4 linked regions of the Caenorhabditis elegans genome follow. The protein of the gene in region 2 interacts with the protein of the main gene of each other region in a pairwise test. Each region holds a gene or a part of one and is shown on either strand. Other genes may lie near its edges. The genes, in order: ceh-51, nhr-23, F53H1.4 and klf-1.

Evidence for each region.
Region 1: the proteins of nhr-23 (region 2) and ceh-51 interact in a two-hybrid assay, tested with the Caenorhabditis elegans proteins (one large-scale study listed by BioGRID).
Region 3: the proteins of nhr-23 (region 2) and F53H1.4 interact in a two-hybrid assay, tested with the Caenorhabditis elegans proteins (one large-scale study listed by BioGRID).
Region 4: the proteins of nhr-23 (region 2) and klf-1 interact in a two-hybrid assay, tested with the Caenorhabditis elegans proteins (one large-scale study listed by BioGRID).

The regions. Positions count from the first base shown.
Region 1 is NC_003283.11:18,871,635-18,877,390, forward strand, and holds ceh-51 (Homeobox protein ceh-51), read left to right. Parts: upstream 1-2,498; coding exon 2,499-2,752; intron 2,753-3,822; coding exon 3,823-4,273; 3' UTR 4,274-4,348; downstream 4,349-5,756. Other genes in the region: emb-4 (Intron-binding protein aquarius), read right to left, coding at 992-1,332, 5,382-5,513, 5,559-5,687. UniProt on the Caenorhabditis elegans protein: Required for mesoderm development, including specification of muscle and coelomocyte precursors.
Region 2 is NC_003279.8:7,214,387-7,222,609, reverse strand, and holds nhr-23 (Nuclear hormone receptor family member nhr-23), read right to left. Parts: upstream 5,827-8,223; 5' UTR 5,649-5,826; coding exon 5,581-5,648; intron 3,825-5,580; coding exon 3,433-3,824; intron 3,293-3,432; coding exon 3,201-3,292; intron 3,155-3,200; coding exon 3,081-3,154; intron 3,035-3,080; coding exon 2,914-3,034; intron 2,848-2,913; coding exon of another isoform or gene 2,842-2,847; coding exon 2,750-2,841; intron 2,706-2,749; coding exon 2,150-2,705; intron 2,104-2,149; coding exon 1,822-2,103; intron 1,748-1,821; coding exon 1,658-1,747; 3' UTR 1,382-1,657; downstream 1-1,381. Other genes in the region: Metal transporter cnnm-4, read right to left, coding at 1-157, 206-237. UniProt on the Caenorhabditis elegans protein: Orphan nuclear receptor. Transcription factor. Modulates expression of target genes, such as Period protein homolog lin-42 and microRNA let-7, by binding to hormone response elements (HRE).
Region 3 is NC_003282.8:1,308,008-1,314,128, forward strand, and holds the start of F53H1.4 (PHD-type domain-containing protein), read left to right. Parts: upstream 1-2,158; 5' UTR 2,159-2,216; coding exon 2,217-2,287; intron 2,288-2,590; coding exon 2,591-2,652; intron 2,653-2,734; coding exon 2,735-2,791; intron 2,792-2,889; coding exon 2,890-3,070; intron 3,071-4,119; coding exon 4,120-4,393; intron 4,394-5,013; coding exon 5,014-5,409; intron 5,410-6,121. Other genes in the region: ddx-46 (RNA helicase), read right to left, coding at 1-455, 1,382-1,637.
Region 4 is NC_003281.10:2,871,978-2,881,360, reverse strand, and holds klf-1 (Kruppel-like factor 1), read right to left. Parts: upstream 6,544-9,383; 5' UTR 6,469-6,543; coding exon 6,333-6,468; intron 5,772-6,332; coding exon 5,599-5,771; intron 4,686-5,598; coding exon 4,493-4,685; intron 3,700-4,492; coding exon 3,619-3,699; intron 3,034-3,618; coding exon 2,737-3,033; intron 2,067-2,736; coding exon 1,629-2,066; intron 1,447-1,628; exon of another isoform or gene 1,373-1,446; intron 1,267-1,372; coding exon 1,177-1,266; intron 1,030-1,176; exon of another isoform or gene 1,023-1,029; coding exon 937-1,022; 3' UTR 685-936; downstream 1-684. UniProt on the Caenorhabditis elegans protein: Transcription factor which modulates genes involved in lipid metabolism and the phase I detoxification pathway, including cytochrome P450 oxidases.

The sequences.
Region 1 (5,756 bases), on a different chromosome or scaffold from region 2:
TTATATGAAAATCTCAATTTTCACGAAAAAATTCGCAATTTTTCCTTAAAAAATTCCGATTTTAATGAAACTTATATGAATAATATAAATTTTGAAAAGGAAATTCGCAATTTTTGTACAAAAATCCGAATATCATCAAATCCGGCTTAAATTTCAATTTTTTCGTGAAAATTTGCAAATTTCGCACAAAAATTCAATTTTCGGCAAATTCAAACGTGAACATTTGAATTTTCACGTAGAAATTCGCAATTGTTCGAGAAAATCTGAATTTCAGCAAATTCAGCTTAAATTTCAATTGTCCGGTGAAAACTTTTGCAAATTTTATATGAAAATTGGCCAATTTCGTACAAAAATCCGATTTTCAGTAAATTTATACCAATTTTGATGTGGAAATTCGCAATTGCTATAACTTTCTTTCTGAAAAATCCGATTTTTAGCAAATTCGGCTTAAATTTCAATTTTCCTGTAAAAATGTGCAAATTTCGTATGAAAATTCGCAATTTTCACACAAATTTCGTTTTTCGGGAAATTCAAAATGAAAATTTCAATTTCCATGTAGAAATTCGCAATTTTTCGGGAAAAAAAATCTGATTTTCATGAAACTTATATGAATAATATAAATTTTGAATTGGAAATTCGGAATTTTTATAGGAAAAATCCAAATTTCAGCAAATTCAGCTCAAATGTCAAATTTTCTTGTGAAAAGGTGCAAATTTCATATGAAAATTTGCCAATTTCGCACAAAAAATCGACTTTCGGTAAATTTATATTTAAAATCTCAATTTTCACTTAGAAATTCGCCAATTTTCCGAAAAAAATCTGAATTTCAGCAAATTGAGCTCAAATGCCAAATTTTTCTTGTGAAAAGTTGCAATTTTCATATGAAAATTTGCCAATTTCGCACGAAAAATCGTTTTTCGGTAAATTCAACCGTAAAATTCTTAATTTTCACGTAGAATTTCTCAAGAATTCCCCAAAAAAAAACACGCACTGAGCCCTGGCTCTTCCCTGTCGATCCAACTGCACATTTGGTACACTAAGCCTGACTAATCTCGCAAATAACGATTGTTCCATATTCGAATATTTCTGGAATGCCTGATTCTGTACAACTGGCGGCAGCTGATGATGATCTCCAATCATAATCCATCGTTTCAGTCGATTGTGTCCGTCTTGTGGATTTTGTAGTAACAATGGGATAAATGTTTCAACTTCAAGAATTTGAGCGGCTTCTTCCATTACGATATTATCGTAGCGGAAGCCGAGCTTCACGAGCTCATTTCGACGGAGAGCCGCGTGTGTACAAGTCATTGCGATGATTTTTGCCTCTTTCACCTGAAAAAATCCAGGATTTTTATAATTTTCAGAGTGTTTTTGTTGTAATTTCGTCGAAAAACTCTAAAATTTTCAAATTTAACATTTCGAAATTTGAATTTTAATTATATTTTTTCTTTTTTTTGCAAAATTTTGTATATTTTATTTGAAATTTGTTGTAGGTTGTAGTTTAGGGAGCACTATATGCCTAGATTCGATATATTTTTTTGCAATTTTCAACATTTTTTCCAATATCTTATTGATCAGATAATTTTTATGTCAGTTGTTTTTTTCTTTTTTGCTTTTTTAAAAGTTTTAAGTAGGCGGGCAATTGTTGTTCGGAAAATTCGGCGAATTCCGGCAAGTTTTTACCCGTTTGCCGGAAATGTTCAATTCCGGCAATGTGCCGGTTTGAAGGAAATTTTCAGTTCCGGCAATTTGCCAGAAATTTTAAATTCCGGCAAATTTTTGCCGGTTTGCAGGAAATTTTCAATTCCGGCAAATTGCCCATTTTGCCAGAAATTTTCAGTTCCGACAATTTGCCGGAAATTTTCAATTCCGCCAATTTGCCGATTTGCCGGAAATTTTCAATTCCGGCAAATCGCCCATTTTGCCAGAAATTTTCAATTCCGGCAGTTTGCCAGTTTGCCGATTTGCCAGAAATTTTTAATTCCGCCGGTTTGCAGGAAATTTCAAATTCCAGCAATTTGTCGATTTGCCAGAAATTTTCAATTCCGGCAACTTGCAAATTTGCCGGAAATTTTTAATTCCGGCAAGTTTTTGCCGAATTGCCGGAACTGCAGTTTTTGACTGAAATTGGCTTAAAAATAAGCTTTTCAGACCAAAATTTCTACCGTAATCCAACACAAAGTACCAAAACTGCCAAATTTTGGCATTGTCCGATTTGTACGAAAAACTACAAGAATCAATCGAAAATTCGCTTTTCCGTGGAAAAACTTCACATTTTTCCAGATTTTCAGACAATTCTGAAGAACAGCCGGAAAATCTCACCCAATTCCCAGGTATCTCACCTCTCCGGTGTCACCTTTTCCCGGTCATGTCTCCCGCCAAACAAAATCGCACCTTCTCGCCTCCCCGCCTACCTAGGCAGCAATGCTCCGCCTAGATTTACAGCCTCCCCAGCTGGAGAATAGCCACTATAATTCCCCCAATTCATTCCACACAAAATGTCATCATCCAACTATAATATTAATAACGGCGGTGACTATTATCCTTTGTCTTCTTCGAATCTTAATTCAACTTCTGCTATTACTAATGCTACTGTAATGGAATATTCCACAATGCCAAGCAGCTCTCCGGGCTCAATGAGCTCATCGCCAGCCTATCCGGCGGCCTATCAGGCTCCATCACCGTGCTACGTGGCGGATCCCAATCAGCTTTACTATCAACAACAGCTGGCTCATAATGGGAATGATATGTTGTAAGTTTTTTCGATACTTTTCAGTACAAAACGGGCGTTTTAGAGTGATTTTCACTACGTTTTTCTACCGAAATGCGTGAAGAACCGCTAATTTTAATGGGGTTATTCAATTAGCGTCGGAAAATTAAAAAGTGTAGAAAAATTACGTCACAACTGTATTAAAATACATTTAAAAACATGTATTTAAATACATTTTGCAAGTAACATTTCTTGAATAACCCCATAAGTTTTGACAGTGGGAAATTACTCAAAATATAGCTTTTTCACACTATATGGCCGCGAACGGGCATTTTTAGCAAAAAAAAACTTTGTTAGCTGCTTTGTTGCAATTAACAGCTCTAAAAATTCCAATTTGAACTATTTTGGTAGCTGCAATTTTGCAATTAACAGTGTCGAAAAGTCCAATTTGCACAAATTGGGCAAATTTGGTAGCTGCTTTTTTGCAATTAACAGTGGCCAAAATTCCAAATTTAGGCAATTTTGGTAGCAGCTGCTTTTTTTGCAATTAACAGCTCCAAGAAGTCCAATTTGCACAAATTGGGCAAATTTGGTAGATTTATTGCAACTAGCAATGTCGAAAATTCCAATTTGAACTATTTCGGTAGCTGCTTTTTTGCAATTAAAAGCTCCAAAAATTCCAAATTTATGCAATTTTGGTAGCTGTTTTCCTGCAATTAGCAGTGTCGAAAAGTCCATTCTGAACTATTTTCGTAGCTGCTTCTATGCAATTAAGAGCTCTTAACAATCCAATTCAGGAAATTTTGTTTGCTACTTTTTTTGCAATTAACTGTTTTCAAAAATTTCAATTTTGAACAATTTTCGAAGCTTCTTCTTCGCAATTAGCAGTGGCCAAAATTCCAAATTTAGGCAATTTTGGTAGCTGCTTTTTTTGAAATTAACAGCTCCAAGAAGTCCAATTGCCACAAATTGGGCAAATTTGGTAGCTTCTTTTTGGCATGTTAAATTTACAGCGGCAAAAATCCCTATTTGGAAAATTTGATCACTGCTTATTTGCAACAAAATTCATCTCCGTGATCGCTTTTCTTCCGAAAATTCCTTTTTTTTTACAGAGTTCAAGCCCATGCTCAAGCCTACCAAGCTCAATGCTTCGCCTGGTTCCAGCAGCAGTACTCACAACTCTCCCCATCCTCGTTTCCTCATCCTATGGTGGCTCATCACGCTGGCTTCATCCCACCACCGCCGTCTTTTCTACATCATCAGCATCAGCAGCATCCAAGAGCTCCTTCAGAAAAGCGGAGAGGCGCTCGAACTCCGTTCTCCGATTCTCAGCTTTACGCGTTGAGAACCAGATTTGAGCAGTGCGACACAATAAAGGTTGACGAGCGACGGAAGTTGGGAGCAGTCATCGGACTTTCGCCCGAGCAGATCAAGATTTGGTTTCAGAATCGGAGATTCAAGTTGAGAAAGGAGAAATACAAGCAGATCAAGCAGGACGCTGTGCAGCAACAGAAATCGGCGAAGGAGGAGGCGGAGGAGGACCAGAAGCATGTTATTTCTTGATTTGTGTAGCTTTTTGTCACTTGTATTATTGTGTGCCCCCAATAAACGATGTTCGATTGAATTGAAGAAAAAAAACCGCGAAATTTGAATTTTCAGTGTTTTTGAACCTTTTAGAACATCAAAATTAGTAGAAATTCCACAACTTCAAAATTTTTGTCTCAAATTTACAACTCTCCGAGCATGTGTATTATAGGCGGTGTAGTCGATTTTTTTTATTGCTTCATTAGACTCAAAATTGTCTGAAAACACAGAATTTCATAATGAAACTTTTTTGAAAACTTCTCAAAAAAAAATTATGACGGCTCAAAAAATGGCCAAAAATTCGTTAAAATTTCAAATTTGACCGACGACTTGTCAATGTCGTAACGGCTGAAGGCAATTTTTTTTTTGAAATCACCGTCAAATTTTGAGTATACAATGTAATTATCTTGCGTTTTCAACTTCATTTAGGTATTTTAAAGTCCATGGACTACGGCGAGATTTGGTTTTAAAAATTTAAAAATCTCTTCGTCCATCGATTTTAAAATACCTAAATGGAGTTGAAAACTCAAGATAATCATGCTGTAAACTCAAAATTTAACGATGATTTCAAAAAAAAATGTTTCCAGTCGCTGCGGCATTGACAAGTCGGTCAAATTCAAATTTTAACGAATTATAGGCCATTTTTTGAGCCGTCATAACTTTTTTTAAAGAAGTTTTCAGGAAGTTTTATTATGAAATTCGGCGTTTTCAGACAATTTTGAGTCTAATGAAGCAATAAAAAAATTCGACTACACCACCTATAATACACATGCTCGGAGAGTTGTAAATTTGAGACAAAAATTTTGAAGTTGTGGAATTTCTACTAATTTTGATGTTCTAAAAGGTTCAAAAACACTGAAAATTCAAATTTCGCGGTTTTTTTTTCAATTCAATCGAACATCGTTTATTGGGCACACAATAATACAAGTGACAAAAAGCTACACAAATCAAGAAATAACATGCTTCTGGTCCTCCTCCGATTGGTATTAATATAATATCGACATCGAAAGTAATATTTTGAAAAACGGAATAATAAAAAAAACGAAATAACATAAAATTCCCAATTTTTTCTCCAATTTCTCCTTACCAACAAGTACTCCGTACGATCTCTTCCATTCCTGAGCAACTCAAACGCTCGGAACTCGTCGAGCTTCTCGAAAATCTGCTCAATGTGTCGCCAGCAAGAGTGGGCAACTTTCAGATCCGCCGAGTTGTTTCCCTGTAATTATAGGCTTTTATTCGGCCTGAAAAGCCTGAAACTGACTGAAAACAGGTCTGGAATGTCTTTGAAGAATCCGGTGAACGGGAAGATTTCGGAAATGATTCCTTCGGCCAGCTTGTTGCATCCTTTCGATGTAACTTTTGCAAGGAATTCCTCCCAAACTCGGCAAACCTGTAAGAAATTATAGTTTTCTTGTGGTATACACTACAAACTACACAATTTCAATATGCATTTCAGTCA
Region 2 (8,223 bases):
TGATAGATTTTTCTTGTCGTCATCCAATTCATGTTCTTCAAGAGAATATACATTGTTGTTGCATGTAGAGTCGCTAGATAGAAACGCATTTTTGACATATTGGACATCTTCCCCGTAGAGCTGGATAATATCATGTTCGTTCATTTTGAAAGGCTCGCTGAAAAATGAATAAATTTATGCTAAAAAGGTTTTGAATAGAAGAAACCTGTCATATCTTCCCGCTGCATACAATTCCATAGAATCATTTCCACATTTATTTGCCTTTGTCTCTATCGGTAAATTAATCCATGCCAAATAAGAAAACACATAAATCTGAAATATTTTATTTGATTTATTTGGGGATAGGTACCGTTATAGTATAATAAAATGGTCGAAATATTAAGCTAAATATTATAAATTTAAAAAAAAACCACATTTGGAAATGTGGGAGAAAAAAAAAAACTTTGAATTCCTGAAACTGACACTATTATGTTTGACTAAATATAATTGATAGATCCAGAAATAATCTAAAGCTTAAATTCAATTTCAACTTACGAAAATCATTGATGAAGTACTTCGTAAAAAATTAAAAAATGATATAAATATATGAGTATATTCTATTCTAAAGTGGACAAATTTATGATAACGAGAGCCTCGTGGAAACATAAAGTAGTGTTGGAAATTTAATTAGAACTCACGTCTTAAAACTCACGCGTTGTATCTATTTTTGGAAAATAATCGGAATAAAAAGTAAATATTAATTAGGAACAATTCTACGGAGAATAACCAGAAAAATAAAAATATAAAATTGAGACGTTTTATCACTGAGAAAACCAAAAAAAAAGAGATTATATTTAACAGAGAAAGATGTTGTGGGGCAGGTAGAACCGAGAGGAAAGTGAAATAAATTAAAAAGTCGGTGTATGGAGCTGAATGCATTGATGACAATGAAACATATTTAGGATGTTACATGAAACAATGGAAACACTCAAGCGACCACTACACCATAAACGAGAAAATGGTTGGATCAAATGGGTAAGAAGGCGTAATTAAAGCGCAGACACTGGAATGATACGAGTTTTAAAAGGCAATAAATGGGGAGATATTTAATAAAATAAAAATTAGTGCGCCTAGAAATCCAGATAAATGGAAATTTGTGGTTTTGTACCCGTGTTGATCACGAAAAGAGTATGGGATGGGATGGGGAGAGGCATCAATACCTGAAGAGAAATGATAAGACAAGAGAGAGATTGGTATGGTTTCAGAAATTTTACTGAACATGAAATGCAAGAAAACATGGAACGCAACATGATTGTACATGGTACACGAGGGGGGGGGGGGGGGTGACAAAAGTCATTAATAAATTAGAACAAGTAAGTAAAGAAGATCCGAGTAAATCACTTTAAAAACAGGAAAAGGAGAGAAAGAATGAGGAACTCTCCTGCAACAGACGACTACAATTATTTTTCTATTAATTTTCTGATAAAACATGGAAACGACTGGGGTTTTGGGGGGAATGTCGGGAAAGGAAATCACAGAAGGAAAGAAAATGGTGTCGTTGGGTTCAAACGGCGCTTTGGTCTACTCTTATTGTACAAATAACCGGAGGAAACGAGATTCATGGACGGGGATAGGGAAGGAGAGCATGGATAAAACTATTGATGATATATGGATTCAGTCAAGGCCGATCTGCAGTGAATAGCTCTTTGTAGAGGGCAGGAAGCTTTTCAGATGATGTTGGATCAGACATTCGGAAGTTTTGAAGAGCCTGTAAATAGAAAAATAATAACCTCAAAATTAAGCATTCCAGATTATTTATATCCAAGCTTCAGCAAATAATACCTCTTGATGCAAACGAGCTGTTTGTCTGATTCTTGTCTCAACATCTTGAATTCGGTGAATCGTGTCTTCCATGCATCCAATTCTTGGCATGACACTTTGGTACAACGCGTTCTTCAGTGTTTCTGCAGTGGCAATCGTCGCAGTGTCAAGAATCCCAATTCCATGAGAAGAAGACACTTGCTCCAGAATAAGTCCAGCGGCAAGAAGAGCTAATTCGGATTGATGCGGTTGTAAATGAACAATTTCTTGAAGAGTGTTATTAACTTCAACGATCAATTGCATCTGAAACATTGAGTATGAGCCGATATTACTCTATGAAAATAAATACCTCGGCATCATCTTCGGCAATCAAGCATGCAAATGGAACAGAATACCTTTCACCGCACACTGCCTGCGCGTCTACATTGTAATACATAGCAGCAAAAACGAGTGATAACTCAAAAACGCTTCCCTTCAGCAATTGAATCTGTGTTTCTTGCGGAAGATTCATAAATCCATCAATACTTTTGGCAAACTCAATAATTGCTTGAATAAGCGGATTGAGCTCCCTAGCGAAGAGCTCCCAACCACCAGCTCGACTCAAATGAGGAATACAATCAGGATCCACGTTACAAACTCCATGTTGTGTTGTATAGGAACTGTGCTGCTGATTGAAAGCTCTGATAACGCGAGTGGCAACGTCTTCTTCTGGAACTTGTGGCGATGGGAAGCTTCCTCCAGTGGCTTGATGTGCAACATATTGTGTGCCATTTGTAGATGATGGTGTTGCTCCGTACATGTTCTGTGGCATTGGAGTCGTAGGAGTCGCAGCAACAGCTATAGAATATCCGTTAACAGGTGTTGAAGTTCCAGATGGATAATGACCGTACATACTTTGATCAAAGCTGAAAATGACGTTGCATGACAGAAAAATGTAGGTGATAATTACCAATAACTGGGATGGGATGGTGGAGGGGAATAGTCGCCGTAAATTGCTTGGTATCCAAGACCATTTGCAGCTAATTCTTTATGCATTCGAACCTGAACCTTTAAGGATTGAACAGACAAAAACGATGACATGAATACGAAGTTTAGAATTGGGAATGTAAATACCTCATCTTCTACTTTTTCTCGTTGCTTTTTTGACATTCGTCCAAATTTAACTGCATCCCGTGACATTCCTAACTCAATACACTTTTTGAGACGGCAGTATTGGCATCGATTTCGATTCACTCTGAAAATACGATATTAAATTTCTGTAACATTCCTAACTGAGATACCTATCAACAACACAATTCTTCTGTCTCGGACACTGATAATTGACGATGGATGATTGACTGCGTCGGAAAAAGCCCTGAAAAATGTATAAGAAATAAAGTAATTCTGGTAAAAAGGCATACCTTGCAGCCTTCACATGTGATAACTCCATAGTGAACGCCAGACGACTTGTCACCGCACACTTTACATGGTATTACTTCTATCTGCGCTGATACTGAAAAAGTAAATTTAGAATCTTTAAAAAGTTCAGTTTATCACAATTTTGGAGTGTTTTTTTTCAGAGTTCGGTTCCAAATTCCAAATTTCAAGGGTTTTAAAGGTTAGTAGGACAATGAACAAAAAATACGTGCATACCCAGAAGAGATTTGTTTTCGGGAAGTCCCCGGAAGCTCATATTATCAGGAAGAATTCCGGCCATATCGACTCGATTTGTATCAATAACACATGTCAATCTTTTGGAATTGTTTCCCATTTGAAGATCTCCGCCGCCTATACGAAAATCATCGGGAACTGACTTAAACTCCCGAGCAAAACAAAAATTTGGTTCCGATTTGATCGTATGCGGATGAAACATGCAATTTGAACTCTCGCATCCAGATTCATCATTTTCCTTGCTTTTTGGAGTTTCAATTGAGAGTGATGGTTGAAGAGATGACTTTGCATGAAGAGTTCGTGTTGCATCAGCCAACTTCTGCTCTACAGCTTGCATCGGAAAATTGTGAGCTTGTTGTCGCGATCGAGGCCAGCTGAAGATAAAATCAAGAAAGGCGGACTACAATTTAAGCGAGTAATGATAGGATACGCGGAAAGATTGAACGTCTAGAAACAGTTTGCGAAACGTTTTTTTTTTACGAAATGCCATGCAATCGCAGAGCTTAAGAAACTCACCTATTAGTTACTGGAGGATATAAATTGAAATTAATTGAAATTTCGAAACAAAAACCAGCCGTGGATCTTAACGTGACTTATTATTATTATTTAGGTTTTATCAATAAGATATAATCTAAACATAATAACTAGCTTATAGTTAGGAAAAAAATTCACGCAAAATAAATATTTAAATTCCTGCTGAACATTTTTTTTCATTGTTATTTGCTTTTGGGGGGGGAATTAGCCTTAAAAATTGAATCATTGCATATTTTAGATTAGAATAGTAAGATTTTTTTCGAATTCTAAATTTAAATTTGAGAAAAATGGTTGAAAACAAAATATTTATGTCAAAAATGAATTTAAAAAAAAACGAATATCAGCGAGGCGGACTACGGTAGGCGACATAAAATGAACTAAAGTCCGCAAACACTCTTAGCACACCGTACCTTCTGCGTTTTTAATATTTATAAATATTAAAAACGCAGAAGTTCAAATATTTGAAAAAAAACAAAAAAATTTTGTTTTTGCATTGTTTTGCAAATGGAATTCTTCAAAAGAAATTTGGTGAAACTGGAAATTTTAATGTCTCGCCTAAAACGCAAAAAAAATGGCTCAGCTTTTTGGTATTTTTAAATGAAAAATTTGACGAAAACCCGCCAAGAGAAATATGCTTCGGGAGTTCTTTATGTTTTTGTGCATAAATTTTAATCAGAAAATGTATACGGCAAGAATATAAAATCTATATCAATCTCACTTCGAATAGCATCACTCATTTCTGATTCAGATAAAAATCTCGTCGTCCCCAACTCTTTTATTATATCGGCTCGATTTTCAACCTCGTTTCCTAGGACCACAATTATCAGGTCTTATATATTCGCAACATATTTCATATTTCCTCATCATACCGCTCATCCTTCATTTCCTGCCTATTCTCAACTTTATCCCCATCTCACCGCTCCTCTCATAACAATTACAGTGTTTTGAAAGAATGAAGAGACGGTGACGATGGAGGATATGGGAATACTGAGAAACAAGGTAGGAAATGAAGAAGACGTAGGAATAAGAAGATGAAGAAGACAATTGTGTGTACGTCTCCGCGCTATTTCTTCATCTCGAGAAGTGACCTCGGTACCTGTGCACGGTGTGTTGCGCGCGAACGGTACGGTATGCCTCCCGCCAGGAGGTGACAGGACCCCGCGTCGTCGACGTCGTCGCGCTGTGTGAGGCAGGATATAGACGACGTGGTTTGCGATGATGGTGGTGGCGGCAGCGGCAGCGACGACGACGACGGGAGGTTGCAATTTCGTAAATTGTACTTTCCGCTGATCATGCGAAACGACAAAAGAGAGACGGAGACGTATACACAGCAAGTACGTGATGGTACCGCCGCGGAAAACTGGGAAAAGTGAATTTGATGGCAAAAACGGTGAAGAACACCCGAAATCTGGTTAAAAATATGTGCAAAATTTCAGAAACTTTCAGCCATCTTAGATAGTCTTCGAAACTTCCATTTTGAATTGAAACATCCCTACAGTATGCTAGAACATTACGGATTGCTTCAAATGTCTAGAGTTAGATCAAAAGATTTCAGGACACCCGCCGAGGTGCCACGTAAACAGAAAAACAACTCACTACACGAACGATGACATTTCGAGAACTGAAGTGAGGTGCCGATTTGGGCCAGTGACCTTACAGGCCATGCCATGCGCTCTGATGTGCCTTGACCCCTGATCTTCTTAAAAACCTTTTTTCAAGATTTTCGAAATGAGTGAAAATGGTTTTGATGTTGTTTGGCTAAACTCTCGAAATGACCATTGAAATGTTGCATTGAAGACCATCGAAGCGAGAACATGCACCTGGTACCGACAGTGACCACCTAATGGTAGAGAATACCGGTTTTCGGTGACACGCGGCTGGACGGGAAAAGGTGTCCCTTACCCCCACTCTCATTAGTCACTGATAAAGTACATTGTGTGAGATAATTAGAATGTAATTTCAAGTAAAAAAAACCAAAAAGCTGTGCTTTAAGATTTTTGCAATTTAATAGTAAGTGTAAACTTAAAAAGGGGAATAAAGAAAACTGAATTCAAGGTCAAGATGTGAGACGAACTTAATTGGGAATAATAACTCGATGAGGAGATGAGATACCATTAATACTTATTATAACTGCCGCACTGGTACTGACTCGTGCGGGCCATAAAGACTGTCCGTATTGAGTTGAAGTTATGACCAATAAGGAAAAATTTAGTAAGGGGGAGAAAATTATTTTTAGTGCTCCTTACATAATAAATTTAGATGTATAAAATAAATAGTGAAAGTAAATATCTAGAAGTAAAGCGAGAAAGAGGGAGAGAAAATCAGAGATCTTTTTGAGATACTGATCTTAATCTACAAAAGAGGGAATGTGGTTTCGGAAAAGAACAGAACACGACCACAAATAAGAAAAAAACCATTCGATAAGTATTTTTAATATCCTGCACAGTTTCAAGATGTTGAGTTATAACAAAATAATAGTACAATTCAAATATCAAAATATACCATAACTGAAAAGTGTAACTTTTGCAAAATAGACACAGTAATAAAATTGAAATTTTCAAATCAGTATTAATCCGACAGAAAATGGGAAAACGAATCTTCTCATAAATGAAAAAGGGCGCACGAAAATCTGAAGCATGGTTTTTGTGCTCCATTTACTGGGTACGACTATTTATTTGGTACTGGGTGCAAAATAGATACCGTACTATAATTGAGCCACATTGTTCATATCCTTTTTAGCTTATATCTCATTTTGTTTCATCGAAAAGTTATCAATTCACAAATTGCTTCGTAGTTGACTGTGTTTTGATATTTGTAAAATTAGTCCAGATATAAATTGACAAAGTAGAGTAATGGATTTCAGTACTGTGAGACTTTTTAAACTAGAAGTTTCAAGTGTCAAAGGAGGAACCGGGAATTGTTTATAAATAAAACTACAGTATAAATAGGAATCACATAATAAATAACTCAGTATAATACCAGAAAGGAAAAGCAAATAAGTTTAAGTTGCGCTAAAGAAAAGAAAAATACGGTGATGGTAAAAATAATTTAAAGTCCAAAAAAAAACAATTATAAGCGTATAAGATACTGTAAAACTGAAACATAATCAAAATCCACACAAAGAAGCCAAAAACGAACTACGACATCATTTCAAAGTGTTGAAATGTCGATTCTTTCTTCAATTTTGGGCTGTTCCCTCCTTCACAATTCATCTTTTCAAAAGGGCATTTTGAAGAGTATTACGGTAGAGGAAGGTGGTGGTCTCTATCTCGTCCAACTATGGGGCAATGGCAGAGTGACCGTGAAATATAGGCATTTTTGATCAATTTGATAGACTTGATAACAGTGGAACGTGCATAACATAGATGGTAAACATTGGTTAGACAACACAAACACATTTTGAAACCTTTCAATTGGAATCTGGAACCTAGAACCTGGATCATGGATCTTGAAACGAACTACTGAATTAATTGTTGTCCTATCGGCAAAAATGAATCTTTTTTGGGTTAGCCATGGCCGAAAACGGGGTGACCGGGTTAGCGGGTCCGGTCGCCGGGCCATGCCCTTCCCCGTTTTTTTGCATCTCTTTCTCTCTCCTTCCACCAACATCTTCGAGAGAAGAAGAAGATGAAGAAGACGTGAGATGACCTACCTCGCATGTCGTCGTCCGAACGCAAGTGACCCGGCCGGTCAGTAGCCGTCGCCGGTAGGGATGCGTCGATCCGGTGTGTCTGCGCATCACAACACTCTCGTCCCCACCCATCCCCTCTATCTCTCCGTTCTCTCGATCACGGCGGCGCCCTCCCAGATCGCATCGTCGCCGCACAAAAACGGTGAAGAAGTTTTGGAGATGAAGAAGATGTGGTGGCGAACGATGGAATAACTCTGTCGGGATGACTCGAAAATACCAAAAACCCGACCGATCACTAATCAGTCAAGACGCTTCCCCTGTTTTCACCCCGTCGAGAAAGCCGACAACGCCTTACTCGTTTTGCAACCGGGAAGATTACGGTAGCGGTAGTGATTAGAAAGTTTTCTTCTAATATAGTTGATGAAAGCTTCTGTAAAGTAAAGCTATTCAACTCTACTACATATAAAGATTTTGTATAACTTACCGTATTTTCCAGTGCTCCTTACTTGCACATCATTGCTATACTTTGACGGCTTATACTTCTGTTGTAATAAATTTTATCAAAAATCTTCAACAATCAAAACATATTTAAAAAAACTTTGTACGTA
Region 3 (6,121 bases), on a different chromosome or scaffold from region 2:
CTCAATATCAAAATCATCAATAACCATATCCATATTATCCTCATTTTCCAGCACTTGTCCCTTTTCGGGCTCCGGCTTCTCCTCCTGCACAATTGTCACAATTCCAGACGCTTTTTGCGTGGAGTTTCCGGTTTTTTTGGCGTTTTTAGTGGCAATTTCTTTCATAAAAGCGTCCAGAGGGTCCTCTTCGTCGTCTGTATCCATTTTTTCGACTTTTTCTTCCATTTTCACCGGGTTTTCCTCTGAAATTCCCTCATTTTTGATATCAAATTCGTCTTCATCATCCTCATCCTCCAGATTCCAGGGCTTTTTCTCAGATTTTTCATCAGATTGCTCAGATTGTAGATCAAGCTCTTCCTTCTTCTTTTGGGCTCTCCACTTCTCCACATTACGACGCCTACGCTCGACTCCCTGTAGTAATTCGGCTTCTTTCATTTTCATAACTTCTTCGGTGTCTGCAAATTGATAAAATTAAGGGGTTTTTTTGCAAAAAATTGAGAATTTGGGCTTTTTCACACTTTTATGGGTAAAAGCCGGCTGGAAATTCAATTTTTTGGGTGAAATTTGAGAAAACTCACTAAAATGTTAGGTTTTTTCGTAACAAAAAGTTGAAAATTGGCCTATTTCTTGCGAAAAAAACATAAAATTCACACTTTTCTGGGTGAAAATCGTCTAGAAATTCAGTTTTTTAGGTGGAAATTGAAAAAAAATCGCTTAAATTTTTATGTTTTCTTGGGAAAAAGGTAAGAACTCTATGGATTTTGCATGAAAAGTTCATAAAATTCACATTATTTTTTGCAAAAACCATACAAATCAGTGGAAAATTGGAAAAATCGCTTAAAAATGCATTTTTCTGGGTGAAAATTAGAGTTTTTTTTTCGCAAAAAATTGAGAATTCTATGGATTTTGCATGAAAAATTCGAAAATTTCGCACTTTTCTTGGTGAAAAATCGCCTAAACTTCAATTTTTCAACCAAAAACCTTTAAATTTGAACAATTTTCGGCTCTTTCTGTTGACAAATTTGAATTTCAACGGTATAAGGCGAAAATTGAATCAAAAATTCAATTTTTCTATCCAAAAATTGTCCGAATTTCGCTTTTTTTCTCCGGAAAAATTAGAAATTGCATGAAAATAGCAAAAATAAAAACGGCAAAAATAGCTGAATTTTGATGCTTTTGGCATGAAAATCGGCTAATTTTTGCGATTTTCAGTTTAAAAAGTTTTTTTTTTTTACCTTAAAATCCTATTTTTAGGCTGAATTTCGTTCAAATTTCCCAGTTTTAACTCAAAAATTCGAAAATTGGGATTTTTCCAGGCAAAAATTTGCTTTTTTTGGCTTTTTATCGATTTTTTTTGCCAATTTTTTTTGCAATTCCTTACCATTCCGTGACTCTTCCATTTCAAAAATCGCCGTTTTACTCTCTTTTTCCTTCTTTTTCTCTGCATCTCTCTGCTTTTCACGATCTCTCGTCTTCTCCCGATCAGTGTCTCGTTCTCTGCGTCTCTCCCGATCCCGATCTCTGTCTCGATGTTCCCGGTGCTCACGACTGCCACGTGGCGAGCGGCTCCGGCTTCTTTTTCGTTCCTTTGAACGGGAACGCTTTCGTTTGTGCTCTTTGTGCTCGCCGCGACCCATCGAAAACTGGAAAAAATTGGGGATTTTTGGATTAAAATTGGGAAAAATACGATTAAAGTGTGCGAAAACAATGAAAAATCACTGGAAATTCGTTAAAACCTTCGGATTTTTATAAAAGAACAATTTTAATCATTTTTAATTTCAAAAAGTGTTTTAAAATCCAGAAAATCTGATTTTCTGCCTATTTTCTGGCCGATTTATCGTTTTATGTAAGTAATTTGACTTCAATCTTCACTTTTTCACTTAAAAAACTTCGAAAAAAGCGAAAAATCTATGGAAAATAAAATAAAAACCGAAAAAAAAAAAGAATTTCGAAAATAAAAATTTTCCGCACTACGACACTCCGAAATCCCGCCGCGCGTGTTGTTTAGCGCTTTTAAAAATTGGCGCGAACGCGCAGGTGTTCAAACACTGTCCGTCGATTTTTCTCGCATTCCTCACAATTCTGTCGCTTTATAGCCGGCTTTCGCGCAAATTTTTGTGTAAATTACGTTAAAGTCACTTAAATTCAAGTTTTCCAGTGCGAAAAACTAACAAACTACTTGTTGCAACTCGGAAATTCAAAAAGTTGATTCGCAAATGAGCCAGCGATCATTTGGAAGTGAAATTGGAAATATGACGGCTGCTACGAATTCGAATGATATTGCGGAGTAAGTTTAAACGTGAATTTAAATTTAAAATGTTTTAAATAAAAAAATAAATTTTTTTTTAACTTATTTCTCGATTCTCCAAAATTTTGAGAGTTCTTTTTATTGTTTCTGGTGTAAAATTCAACGTTCTCTTCATTTTTCACATTGAAAACCCGTGAAAATCACTAAAAACCACTGGAAATTCATGAAAATCCAATAAAAACCAATGGGTGTGCAAGCGCGCCCCATTGCGAATATTTGAATTGTTTTTCGTTTTCGACTTTTTTTCTCCGAATTTCGAGCCAAATTTCTCTCTTTTTCCAGCGTTTCGCTCGCCACACCACTAAAATCGACGGAACAAATGGAAAAGTCGGAAAATGGGACAGGTTAGTGCCGAAAAATCGTGAATTTCCACCCGATTTTCACCTAGAAACCCGAAATTCCACAAAATAATGTTTCTTTTTTCAGCCGTCTCCCGCCTCCCAAAGCCACTCGCCATTGAAGTTTACTCGAAAGTTCACAATAGTGAGTGAAAAACCCAGAAATTGTGGATTTTTCATCAAAAATCTCCAAATTTTCGCTAGAAAACTAGATTTTTCGCGGAAAAATCCCCCAATTTTCAGGCAATTTATCAGAAGATGACCTTCTCGACGAAATTGAAGACCTAATTGATGAGAAATTCTTTGCCGGAGAGAAATTAATGAGCTCTGGCAAAGAATATACAGTGGTTTCCAGTGAAAAACGCGGTGGGCTCACACTTTACACAATGGAGGACGGCACCAAAATTGGACATCGCGATTTGAGGTGAAAATTGATGGAATTGCATGGTTTTCGGTGGAAAAATGTGGCGAAAAACCGTTGAATTTCGCTTATAAATCGGAGTTTTAGGCCAAAAATGACTAAAATCGTTAAATTTTCAGATTTTTCATGCAACAAATTTGAAAATTCCGCATTTTTTCTTCATTTTTCACCCAAAAAAAAAACCACTAAAGTTACAGGTTTTCATGAAAAATTGCTTATTTTAACCGAAAAATAACAAAAAATTGATTTTTTAATTCATTTCCCACGATTTTTACTTCAAAATTATCATTTTTAGGTCATTTTTTGAATTGAAAAACGGATTTTTAGATCTTTCCTGAGCAAAAATGGGGTTTTTTTCATTGAAAAATCGAGAATATCCCAATTTTTTAACCGGTAAATACGCTGAAATCGTGTTTTTCAGCCAATTTTAGACCTTTTTAAGTGAAATATAAAGTAAATCCACAAAATAGCTGCAAAAATGCGTAATTTTCAACATTTTTGCATGAAAAATCCAAAAATTTTCATGTTTTTTGATTAAAAACTCATAAAATTCGAGATTTTTGGACGGAAAATGCTTTAAAATATAATAATTTCACATAAAAAATGCTGAAATTTTTCATTTTTGCTATAAAAAATTTGAAAAATGTCAATTTTCAGCCAAAAAAGGGTCTCTCAGTGGGCGAAATTACGAAAAATGGCCATTTTTGCACTAAAAATCCCAGAAAATTCATTAAAATTTCCTCGAAAACCCGAAATTTCCAGTGAAAATTTATGGAAAATTAGTTTTTTCGTTCAAAAATTCGATTTTCCAGACAAAATGTCCACAAAAATTTGATTTTGCGGTGAAAAGTGTAAAAAACTGCAATTTTTTTTTTCAAAAATCCGTTTAAAAAGAGTCTGAAAAAGTTCAAAGATGTAATTTTGGATGAAAATTGTGTGAAATTTCACAATTTGGCGCTTAAATTGTCTCAAAAATAAGTGGAAATTACACTTTTTATGAAGAAAAATCCAAAATTTTAGAGAAAAAACCCTAATTTTCCCTCAATTTTCAGACGAAAAAAGGGTCTATCAGTGGAAGAAATCAAGAAAATCGCCATTGAAGATGCTGAATTTGTGGATGAAAAGCAGTGGAAAGTCCGGGAAGAACTGCTCGCCGAGAATCCGATTCGTGAAATTAAAAAATATGCTCCAATATTCTCAGCAAATCGGAAATCTACGCCGAAAACTGCTCAGCTCAGTGTGGCGGCAGAAGCCGATGATTCAGATGTACAAGAGGTGTCAATGGATGCTGAAAGTGGAGCAGAAGCTGCAAATAAAAGTGCTATGGTACGGGAAAATTTCGATTTTTAGCTGGAAAATTGAGAGAAAAATCTGATTTTTCGGAGAGGAAAAGTAAAGAAAAATCAGGATGTTAGCTGAAAATTGAAAAAAAAAGTAGATTTTCAGCTGAAAAATTGACAGAAACGCTATTTTTGTAGTCAAAGCTCGATTTTTCGTAGTAAAAATACAGAAAAATTAGGATTTTTCCTAAAAAATTGAATAAAACAGTGAAAAAATCGTGATTTTGACAGAGATCAACTAAATTCCGATGATTTTTAGCTTTAAAATTGACAAAATTTGTGAGAAATTAGATTTTTCGACTGAGAAATTGAGAAAAACGCCATTTTTCATAGTAAAAAATGAGGAAAAATGGGATTTTTATTTGTAAATTTCTGAAAAAACGAGAAAAATTGGATACATTTTGTGAAAAATCGAGAAAAAAACCACATTTTACAGTGAAAAATTGACTAAAATCTCGCAAAAATCGCCAAAATTGTGCCAATTTTCACCAAAAACTGTTAGAAAATATAATTTTTTAATGTAAAAATTGACAAAAATCATGCGAAATTTCCAATTTTCTGAGAACTTTCTGTTGAAACTTGTGAAAAAACCGAAAATTTTTGCAGAAAACTCCACGTGGAGCTCCGCGAGCATCTGGAGGCCCTGTGATCCTCTCGAGCCGCCGTTTACAAGAAAAACAGAAGGAAAAAGATGAAAAAGAGAAGGAAAAACTGGAGAAAAAGCAGAAAGAACAGGAAGAGAAGAAGCAGAAAAAAGAAGAGGAAAAGGCGAAAAAACTGAAAGAAAAAGAGGAAAAATTGAAGGAAAAAGAGGAAAAAGCGGCACGAAAAGCTGAGAAAAAGGAGAAAAATAATGGAACTATGGACAAATTTTTGAAAAAAGACACGGGCTCACCGAGCAGCAAAAATGCACCGTTATTCTCACCGTCGAAATGGGGAGAGAAGCGGATTGCTGTCGGAGTGAAAAAGATGGAAGATGCGTGGAAACGGCGCGATTTGGAGGTAAAAATGCAGAAAATTTGGAAAAAAAATGGAGCCAAAATGAAAACTATGTTTTTTTTTGGTTGAAAATTGTCTAGAAATTGCTAAAAATGGCTTAAATGTCCCTAAAAATCAATCGTATTTTGACTAAAAATTGTTTTGAATTTGAGAAAAAGCGCATTGAATTCGCTAAAATTAGCCAAAATCGTCTTAAGATTGTCATATTTTTGTGTGAACTTTTTTTTTTTGAATTGACGAAAACTCCTTGAAAATTGAGAAAATTTGGAAAAAATGAGCCAAAACGCTTTGATTTTGAACAAAAAAGGCTCAAAATTGTTCAAAAATCGTTAAAACTGGCTTAAAATTGCTTGAAATGCCTCTGAAATTTTGTATTTTGACTGAAAATTGCCGGAAAATTGTGAAAAAGTGCAAAGAATTCGGCAAAATCAGCAAAATGTGCCTTAAAATTGCCCGATTTTTGCTAAAAGTTAACGAAAACTTGGAAAAAATTGAGCCAAATATCTCTATTTTTGACTGAAAATTGGCTGAAAAAGTGACAAAAATGGCTAAAAATTACTCGAAATCGCTCTAATTTTGATGAAAACCCATTGGAAAACTGAGAAATATCACAGAAATTGCCCCTAAAATCAAGAAAATGACTGAAAATAAGCTAGAAATGCTGTAATTTTTTGCTGAAAATTGACTAAATTTGAGAAAATTGTGATAATTTTCG
Region 4 (9,383 bases), on a different chromosome or scaffold from region 2:
AGCAAAAACGGAAAATTTCTTCAGGAAAAATGGGGAAAAAAGAGGAGAGGGGGAGAGACGCAGACAGAGAAAGATCAACATTTGGGTAGAGGGAGAAGAGACGCAGGAAGTGATGGAGAGAGGTTTTTTATTTGGAAAAAAACTATTGTGAGGGGTATTTTATATTAGTGAAGTTTTTTCAAAAAAATTTAAAAAATTCGAAGAATATTTTTTTTTGGAAATTTTCTTTTTGAATTTTTTTTTTGAAAAATTGCCAAAATGGTTATTAATTGTCAAATAAAATAATTTTTCAACTTAATGTATTATAAAAACTAAATAGAACAAATTTTCCAAGACAAACATTTCAAAAAAAAAAACCAGCTTTTTTTCGAAAATTTTCAATTTTCAACTTTTCCAAATAGTTGAAAATCTAATCTAAAATTTTAGAAAAAACTGGAATTCTTCATTTTGTGAATATGAAAACATGAAAATAATAATTTAATAGTAAGTATAATGAAATTTTCAAAAAAAAAATTTCAAAAAATTTTTTCCAAAAATTATTTTTGAATAATTTTGAAAGGCTCAAAACCTTTCCAATTTGGTTTTTTTTCAAATTACTAATCTCTGAAAAATCAAAAAAAAAAACACAGAAAAAAAAATCGATATGTATTTATTGATTTCCACGTGGGGGGGGGGGGGGAAAGTGAAATGTGACAAAAATTAATATGACCGTATTTAGTGATGATACCAAGCATTTTTTGAGCAAGAAAACATTCAAAAAACTGTAAAAATGACGTCACGATGTTGAGACGTGACTGGCGGGAAGTTTGAAAATTTTTGAAAAAAAAAACTTTTTTCAAAAATTTTCCAAAAAAAATGTAATGACCGGATAAAAAGTTGAGAAATACATTTTGGGAACCCGTAATTAGTTAATCTGTTGCACCATGTTTTTTTTGATTAGAAGTGGCGTTTCATATGGAGTGAGAGATGATCACTTCGGGAGAAGGCACGTGAACATTGAGAGCACTTGAATGGGCGGTCTCCTGAAAAAAACAATTATTTTTGTTTTTCTTAGCATTGCAGTGCATAATTTAAATAGAGCTCGACGAGAGCTTTCATTTAAGTATAATCATGACTAGGTTTGGGAAAATTTGAAAATTTTTAGGTGTATGCGCCTTTAATTCACTCAAAAATTACCTGTATGTTTCCTATAGTGCCTTGTTAGCTCGTCAGATCTAGCAAATCGCCAATCACACCCGTCCCAACTGCATTCGTATGGTTTTTCACCTGAAAAATGATTTTTTTCATCAAAAAATTTCTAAAAACAACTTTAAAGAGAAGTTATCAAGATTTAAAACTGAAATTTTCAAACTTTTCATCCAGAAAAACCTATATCCTTCGACAAAGAATCGAACCTGTGACCTTCTGGGTCATAGTCTGACATCTTACCGACTGCGCCACGCGCGCACTGCGTGCCGCGCCAGTTGCTGGGCGCGACGGCGCTGGTGGCGCAATAGGTAAGAGAGATGACTGAGACCCAGAAGGTCCCAAGTTCGATTCTTTCTGCATGTTTTTGGTTTTTTCTGGGTGTAATGATTGCTTTTTCAATCTAGAAAATATTTTGTTCAGTACAATTAACAAAGTATTACCTGTATGAGTTCTAAAATGAGCCTTCAAATGTGAGCTTTTCGTGTAGACTTTCCCGCAATTCGGATGTGTGCAATGGTGAAGCCTCTTGACAGATGGTTCAGAAGCATCATATGATGAGCTCGGGCTCGGCTCGCAATTTGAATCCTCGAGGGAAGAGTCCACGTGGAGTCTTTGCGAGGCTTCTGCCATGTGGGTTTGATGCTCTTCCATTTGTTTTTTGATAGCATCCAACTGAGTTTTGATGGCCATCGGATCGACTTGACCATTTGCGTCTGGCATTACAGCTAGACACGCTGAAGCCGTCAGTTCGTCTATTTTTCGCTTAAACTCCAAGGGGTCAAAGTTTTGGTAGACGAAGGAGTTCACAGAGCTGGATACTGAGCTGGGAAGGTCTGATGTTGATGACACACTTTCTACGTTCACTGTGAGAGGTTCGTCTAAAAATTAAAAAACATTTGAAGTTTTGATTTTTCAAAAAAATATTTTGAAAAAAAATATTTTGGAGAAAATTTTTTTCAGCACAAAATTGGTATTATAATTATCTTGTTTTCAAGTTTTGGATATTTTATTGTAGTCAGCTTGTTAAGACCTTTCAAGTGACCCCCATCATGCTAGGTTCTCCCCATGTTGGGTCCCACCACGAAAATTCCCCAGGAGTACTGTAGTTTTCGTGGTGGGACCCAAAATGGGCAGAGCCTAGACATCATGGGGGTCATTCGAAAGCTCTTGATGTGATGAACGCGAAAAAAGGTTATTTTTCGAAAAATTATTTTTGAACTAAAAAAATATTTTTTACCTTAATTTTGTTTTTATCGCTCTCAACTCATCAAGAGCTTCAAAATAACACCCATCATGCCTAGGTTCGGCATATTTTTAAATTTTTAACCCTATGCGCCTTTAAATTCTGGTTCTCGCGGTGAGACCCAAAGTGGGCGGGGCCAAGGCAAGATCGGTGTCATTTGAAGGATCTTGACGAGCCGAGAATAGTTAAATTGTGAAGTTTGACGACTTTTTTTAATTTTGAAGAAAAAATTTTGAAAAAAAATTTTGTGGAAAATTTTTTTTCCAGAATTAAAAAAAAAATTTTCCGCAATTTCAAAACCTTACCTCTTAAATCAAAATTCATTGCGGATCTTTTGACACACGGACTTGTCGGACTATCCATGTCAGCATCCTCCACAACAATACTCTCATGATCCTGATGGCCTGAATCTCCGGAGCTCGAGGAAGCGATATCGAAATTTGAAGTCGAATGAATCAGCCGAATTGGGACATTTCTAGCCATATTCAGGTTAAGATTTCGAGATTGTGGAAGCGGGTCTCGATTCAGAATGTCGGAAATCAAATGGCCCCCGGGGCGCCGGGTATCCAGATTTTCTCGAAGCAGGACTGGAGCGAACGCACCTGAAAATGATTTTTACTTTGAAAATTTGAATCAAGCTAGCCAAGAGCTTTCATTTAAGTATAATCATGACTAGGTTCTGACGATTTTGAACTTTTCAATAAATTTCCGGGTCCCACCACAAAAACTACAGTATCTCTCATTTCTTGTCATACAATACACTTTAAACTAAAAATATGAATTCAGCACACTGAGAGCTTCAAAATAACACCCATCTTGGCTAGGTTAGGTTAAGTTTGAAATTTTCAAACCCTATGCGCCTTTAAATTTAGATTTTCGTGCCGGGACCCAACAAGTTGAAAATTGAAGATCAATATAAAGTTTTAGGCATCGTGAATGCTAATAAAATTTTAAATGAACAGATGAAATATTTGTCAGTGACCTCTAAGCCTGCACTTCCGGGTCCCGCCACGAAAATCAAAATTTAAAGGCACATAGGTGCTTTAAAATTTAAACTCACTGGAACCTAGTCATGATGGGTGTTATTCAAAAGCTCTTTGCACGACAAATTCAATTTTTTCTATAATTTTCAAAAAAAAATTAGTTAGAAAGTTTAAAAAATTGAAAATTGAAAAAAAATCACAAACTTTTCTTGACTTGCATGCCCTGAAAAGCTGCTCCGAGAGCTGTCGTCGGTGTGTTGAATCCGGAAAATGACGACATTGACTCTGAAAAATATATGACAATTTTTACAAATTCGGAGGGTGTTTTGCAGGGGTGTCCCTGATAAGAAATTTTCTTTAGGCGTTTTCTTTTTTTTAGGTGATAAATTTAGTTGAGTTTTTAATTTTTGCAGAAGAATATGATTTCTTCTGCACATTTTGAAATGGGAATGGTTCCGATATCTTGAAAACTGGCAGAGTTATCGATTTTCGAAAAATTTCGAAAAATTTAAAATCGAAAACCTTTAAATTTTAACGCAGAGATTGAACTTAAAACTTCAAAACAATTAAATTCGAACTCAGCACGTTGAGAGCTTTCAAATGACACCCATCATGCCTAGGCTGCGTCAATTTTAGGTCCAACCACGAAAACTACAGTACTCCCGGGGAATTTTCGTGGTGGGACCCAAAATTTTCCAAACCTAGTCATGATTATATATATTTTTCTGAAAGCACGTAAAATTTACAATTCGAATAGTTTGAAAACTTGTGAGAAATACTGATAGTTTTCGTGGTGGCACCCAAAATTGTGGGCAAATTTTCGACAATTTTCGAAAATCGATAACTCAGCGAAAAATTGAGATTTACATAAGATTTTTTGTTTGACAAACACAACAGAAATTGTTCTTTCAGACAAAAATACTTTTCGCAGCCTGGAAACTGTACCTACAGTACCCCAGATCTTTTTCGTGGCAAGACCCAAGAAATTTTCAAAATTTTCAAACCTTGGCATGATTATACTTAAATTAAAGCTCTCAAAACGCTGAATTCAGATTTTTCAATCAAAAATAAAACCCACTCTGATGCTCTGCAATAAAATCACTTTTGATCTGTTCCAGACGGTCATTAAATGAAGTTGTCGGTTGGAAAAGGCTCTGAGTTGAGTCAAAATGTGAATTTTTATATGGTGCAAATGCAGAAAAGTCCGATTGTCTTTCGAAAACCGATGAAGAACTTGAACTTGTTGCTGCTCCGCTATCATTTCCAAATGTCTGCAAAAAAAACACATTTTTAAAGGATTTTTCAATTTTTCCATATTTAAATCTGATTTTTATGCTTAGGCTTGAGCTCAGGCTTAGGCTTAGGCTTTGGAGTCAACTTCGGCTTAGGCTTAGGCTTCGGCTTAGGCTTAGGCTTCGGTTTAGACTTAGGCTGAGACTTAAGCTCCTGCTTAAGCTTACACTTAGGCTTTGGCTTATGCATACGCTTTAGCCTAGGATTAGGCTTAACCTCAGCCTTAGGCTTAGGCTTAGGCTTAGGCTTATGTTTATCTATTTCTTGGTCTTTTTTCGAAATTTTGCGGTTAATAAAAGTTTTTTTTGTGAAATCTGTTCCATTCTAATATCGATTAATTAGTCTTTCGTAGGAAGATGAACAATCCGGTCTAGATTTTCTCTATTTTCTCAGCGCTCTCTCAATCTTATCAATCACTCTCTCTCTCTCTCTCACTTTATGTATGTGTTTCGGTAGATAGAAAGAGAGGCGCCAACGCCCAATGTTCTCCCTACTCTCTTTCTCTGCGTACTCTCTCACTCTCTCACTCTCATTTTTCTTTTTCTTGCGAAACAAGACGGTCGCCGCCGCCGACATCAAGAAAAGACGGTAACCACACCCAAAAAGGCGGGAAAATTGAGAGTGACAAAGAGACTGAGAGATAAGAGGGTTAAAGGACATGTGACTACTGTAGCTTTGAAATTTTGGTGGTTTTTCGTTGTGGGACCTTGAAAATATGAAAATCAAATTCAGCTGGGTGAGAGCTTTCATTTAAGTATAATCATGACTAGGTTTTGAGAGGGAGTCTTAAAAAAATTTAATTTCCGGGTCCCGCCACGAAAATCAAAGTTTAAAGGTGCATAGGCCTAACATAATATAACCAAGATAGCTGTATCTCAAAAAAAAACGAACATTTTCTAGCTTCCTCCTCAACGCGTTGGCCTTCAGCCTTTCGTAGGCACTTGTGCTCTCGGAAAGTTCCCGAATTGATTCGTAAAATTGATGTCCGAATTGATTAAAGCTTCTTGTTGCTTCATGTATCCGCTGTTCAGCATCGTCGTTTTCAGATGAAATTGAGGAGAGGCCTGAAAATTTGAAGATTTTTGGTTATATTTTTGCAAAAAAATTCAACGTTTTCTGCACATTTTGAAATTGGAATAGTTCAAATATCTTAAAAACTCGCAGAGTTATCGATTTTCGAAAAATTTCGAAAAATTTCAAAAAATCAAAACTTTTAAGGCACAGCTTGAACTTGAAACTTCAAAACTGTTAAATTTGAACTTAGCACACTGAGAACTTTCAAATGACACCCATCATGCCTAGGCTCCGTCAATTTTAGGTCCCACCACGAAAACTACAGTACTCCCGGGGAAATTTCGAAATTTTCGAAACATAGCCATGATTATACTTTTCTGAAAGCTCGTGAAATTTTAAATCTGATTATTTTTAAATTTCGGGCTAGAAAGTCATAGTTTTCGTGGTGGGACACATTTTTATTGAAAATTTTTTGTAATTTTTCGAAATTCGATAACTCAGCGAAAAATTAAGATTTTCACTTAATTTTTTCTATGGCAAACACAACAAAATTTATTCTATCAGGAAAACATATTTTCAGTGATGGTATTAAATAAAAAAACATCTCTCACCTGGTTGAAAAAAAGACGGTGACAAATGTACTGATCTATCCGCCCGCGCCAATGGATCAATTGATAATGATGGTTTATTAGGAATGTGTATTAATGGTTCCCGTGATGACGTGGCATTTATCGATGATGACGTCATCGTGGATGACGTGGAATTGAATTGTAGTGTACTTGATGAGGAGCTGAGTGACCCGGAGCCTTCCGGCCCAAACATCTGCAAAAATCGATATTTTTATAGATTTTTTAGAGGGGAAATGGGTAAATTGTGAAAAAGTACATAAGAAAATCTAAATTTGAGAAAATTTTGAAATAATTATTTTTTGAAAAAATTTGAAAAAAAAAATTTTGAAAAAAATTTCAATTTTTTGCTTTTCGATCTTTTGCTCATTTTTGAAGATTTCGATTTTAAGTTTGGTTTTCAATCTATGAAAAAAATTTTTTAAAGTGATTTTTCCCTAAAAACCCCAACAAAAATTTCCAAAAAAGGCGTAGTCTTTTACATTTTCGAGGGTAATGCATCGCCTCCTCAACACACAGCCGAAACAAAAAAAAAAGATAAAAACCGAAACAAAAAACTTGATAAAGGAATAAGAAAATGAAGAAATAGACAGAAACGCAGAGATACACAGAATCGGCCGAAAAAAAAATGGTAGGGAAAATGAATTGTCAGCTGAGAACGGGAACAGGAGAACGTGTCATGTGACATTTATGATTTTTGATTAGAAAATCAGAGGAATTTCTTGAAAAATCTCTAAAAATCAATAAAAATCTATCATTTTTCGTTTTTGCAAAATTGGAAAAAAACAATTTCGAGTTTTTGGCCTAGTGGCTAACAGAGTTGGCTGGGACTCACAAGGCCGGGGCTCGAATCCCCGATGGGGTCAAAATTTTTGTCGAGTTTTGTTTGCATTGTTTATGCTTTGAAAATTGACATGGTAGACGCTTTGACTTTGAAAATGAAAATTCACAAAAAAAAATCGAGATTTTAGTTCATTTCCCGAAAAATATCGATTTTCAGAAATATTTACATAAAAATTCGGGTTTTCCACGAAATTTCCGTCAATTTGAGACCCATATCGATTTTTTCAAAAAAATTAAATTTTTGGCCTTGTGGTTAACACGGATGGGTGGGACTCACAACACCGGGGTTCGAACCCCCGCTGGGGTCAAAACTTTTTTCCAATTTTTTTTTGGTATGTCAGAGATTTTTATTAACAACATTTAGTTCAAACCGTAGCGGACTGAAATTTGGTTTTTTTTTAATTTTTTACTTTGAAATTTTCAAAATTAAAAAAAAACAATTTTCAGCAAAAACGAATCGATTTTACAGAGTGAGAATAGAAAGTGAAAATAGTTGAAAAAACTAGAAGTATTAATGAGACAGAACTAACTACACGTCGATTGTAAATGTGATGTGACAGTTAGTTTGAGACGCACAGAAGAAACAAGAAAAAGATGAAAAAAGAAGAGAGAGAAATGAAAAAGGAACTGAACTATATAAGAACAATCTTCCAAATTAATCGATAGTTACACTAAATTTCGGCGGGATTTGTTAAAATAAAATTTGTGAAAATAAAAACTAGTGATTTTCCGGAATTTTCATATAAAAATTCGAGTTCCCAATAAAATTTCCGTTAATTTGACAACCATATCAGCTATTTTTGAATCATTTTGAAAAACATTTGAAACATTGAATTTTTGGCTTAGTGGATAACACTGGTGATTGGTAATCTCAACACCGGGGTTCGACCCCCACTGTGGTCGACGTTTTTTTTTTCGGTTTTTTACACATTGTTTACAGACTAAAAATGTGTCGAAACTTGAAAATTTAAAAAATAATAGTTGAACTTTTGGCCTGGTGGATAACAGAGATGACTACCACCCACAACACCTGGGTTCGAGTCCCCACTGTGGTAACTTTTTTTCTTATGTTTGATATCTCATCTACACTGGCCTCAGCGTGTTTAAAATGCCTTCTTTATGTAAAAAAGGCGGAAAATGGGTAAAAATTGATGAACCGCATCGAAATGAGTCTTTATCTCGGTGACAGCGACGGGAAATTTAGTTCTAGTGTTCCGCAAAATCGAGAAACTCAAATTAAAATGTTTTTAAGGTCAAAGATATGAAAATAAAATTCGAAAAATTTCACAACCTTTTGTACTGTGGACTTCAAAAAATGTCAGCAGTTACGGGAATATCATAAGACATAGTGGGGGTGTCATGTGATTAGTAAAAATTGGAAAAAAAAATGTAATATTAGTTTTGTGTACTATAAAAATTAAGAGGAAAACATTGAAATTTTGAAATTTTGAAAAAAAATTGGAACTTTTTCGTAAAATTTTGCAATATCTCGAAACTAGCTATGCAAAAAAAAATTGAAGACTAAAATTTTATAACTTTTAAACTTTTGGATACAATGAAGCTATTTTTCGAAAAATGATACGGCCACAGACAAAAGAGAGAGCAAAAACTTTAATATTTATGGCCTACGCAAATCAATAGTCCTAAAAGTTTCCTATAAGTTGGTTTTTAAAAAAGTTATCTAGCTCATTTTTCCGCGGAGTTACGCCACTTTGAAGATATCATGCGAGAGAGCGTAGGGTGAGGGGAGACGCAGCGTGCGCGCGCCGCCTGCGTCTCTCCCCCTCCCACTCTAACACCTGTTACCTTTAAACTTGGATATCTCTGTTGAGAGAAGAGCTAGAAAAATACTTTCAACTGATAATTTGTAGATAATTTTAAGGGCTACATTTTGAAGGTTAGCAAATTTTGGAATTTTCAAATAGTTTTTGAGAAAAAACAATTTCAAAAAATGTTTCAAGTGGATTTCCAGGAAATCTCAAAAATTCCAATGAAGGGCAAAGTGAAAGACACAGAATGAGAGAAAAAACGAAAATACATACCACACACTGTTTCTTAGATGGATGGTGGTGGGGGGAGAAGAACAGGGCGTCTCCCCGCGGGCCGCCGCCGTCTGCTGTTTCCCGTGCAAAATAGGCGGAGCCAAGCAGGCCATACAAACACACACACACACAAAGAGACTGTCACTTGAGA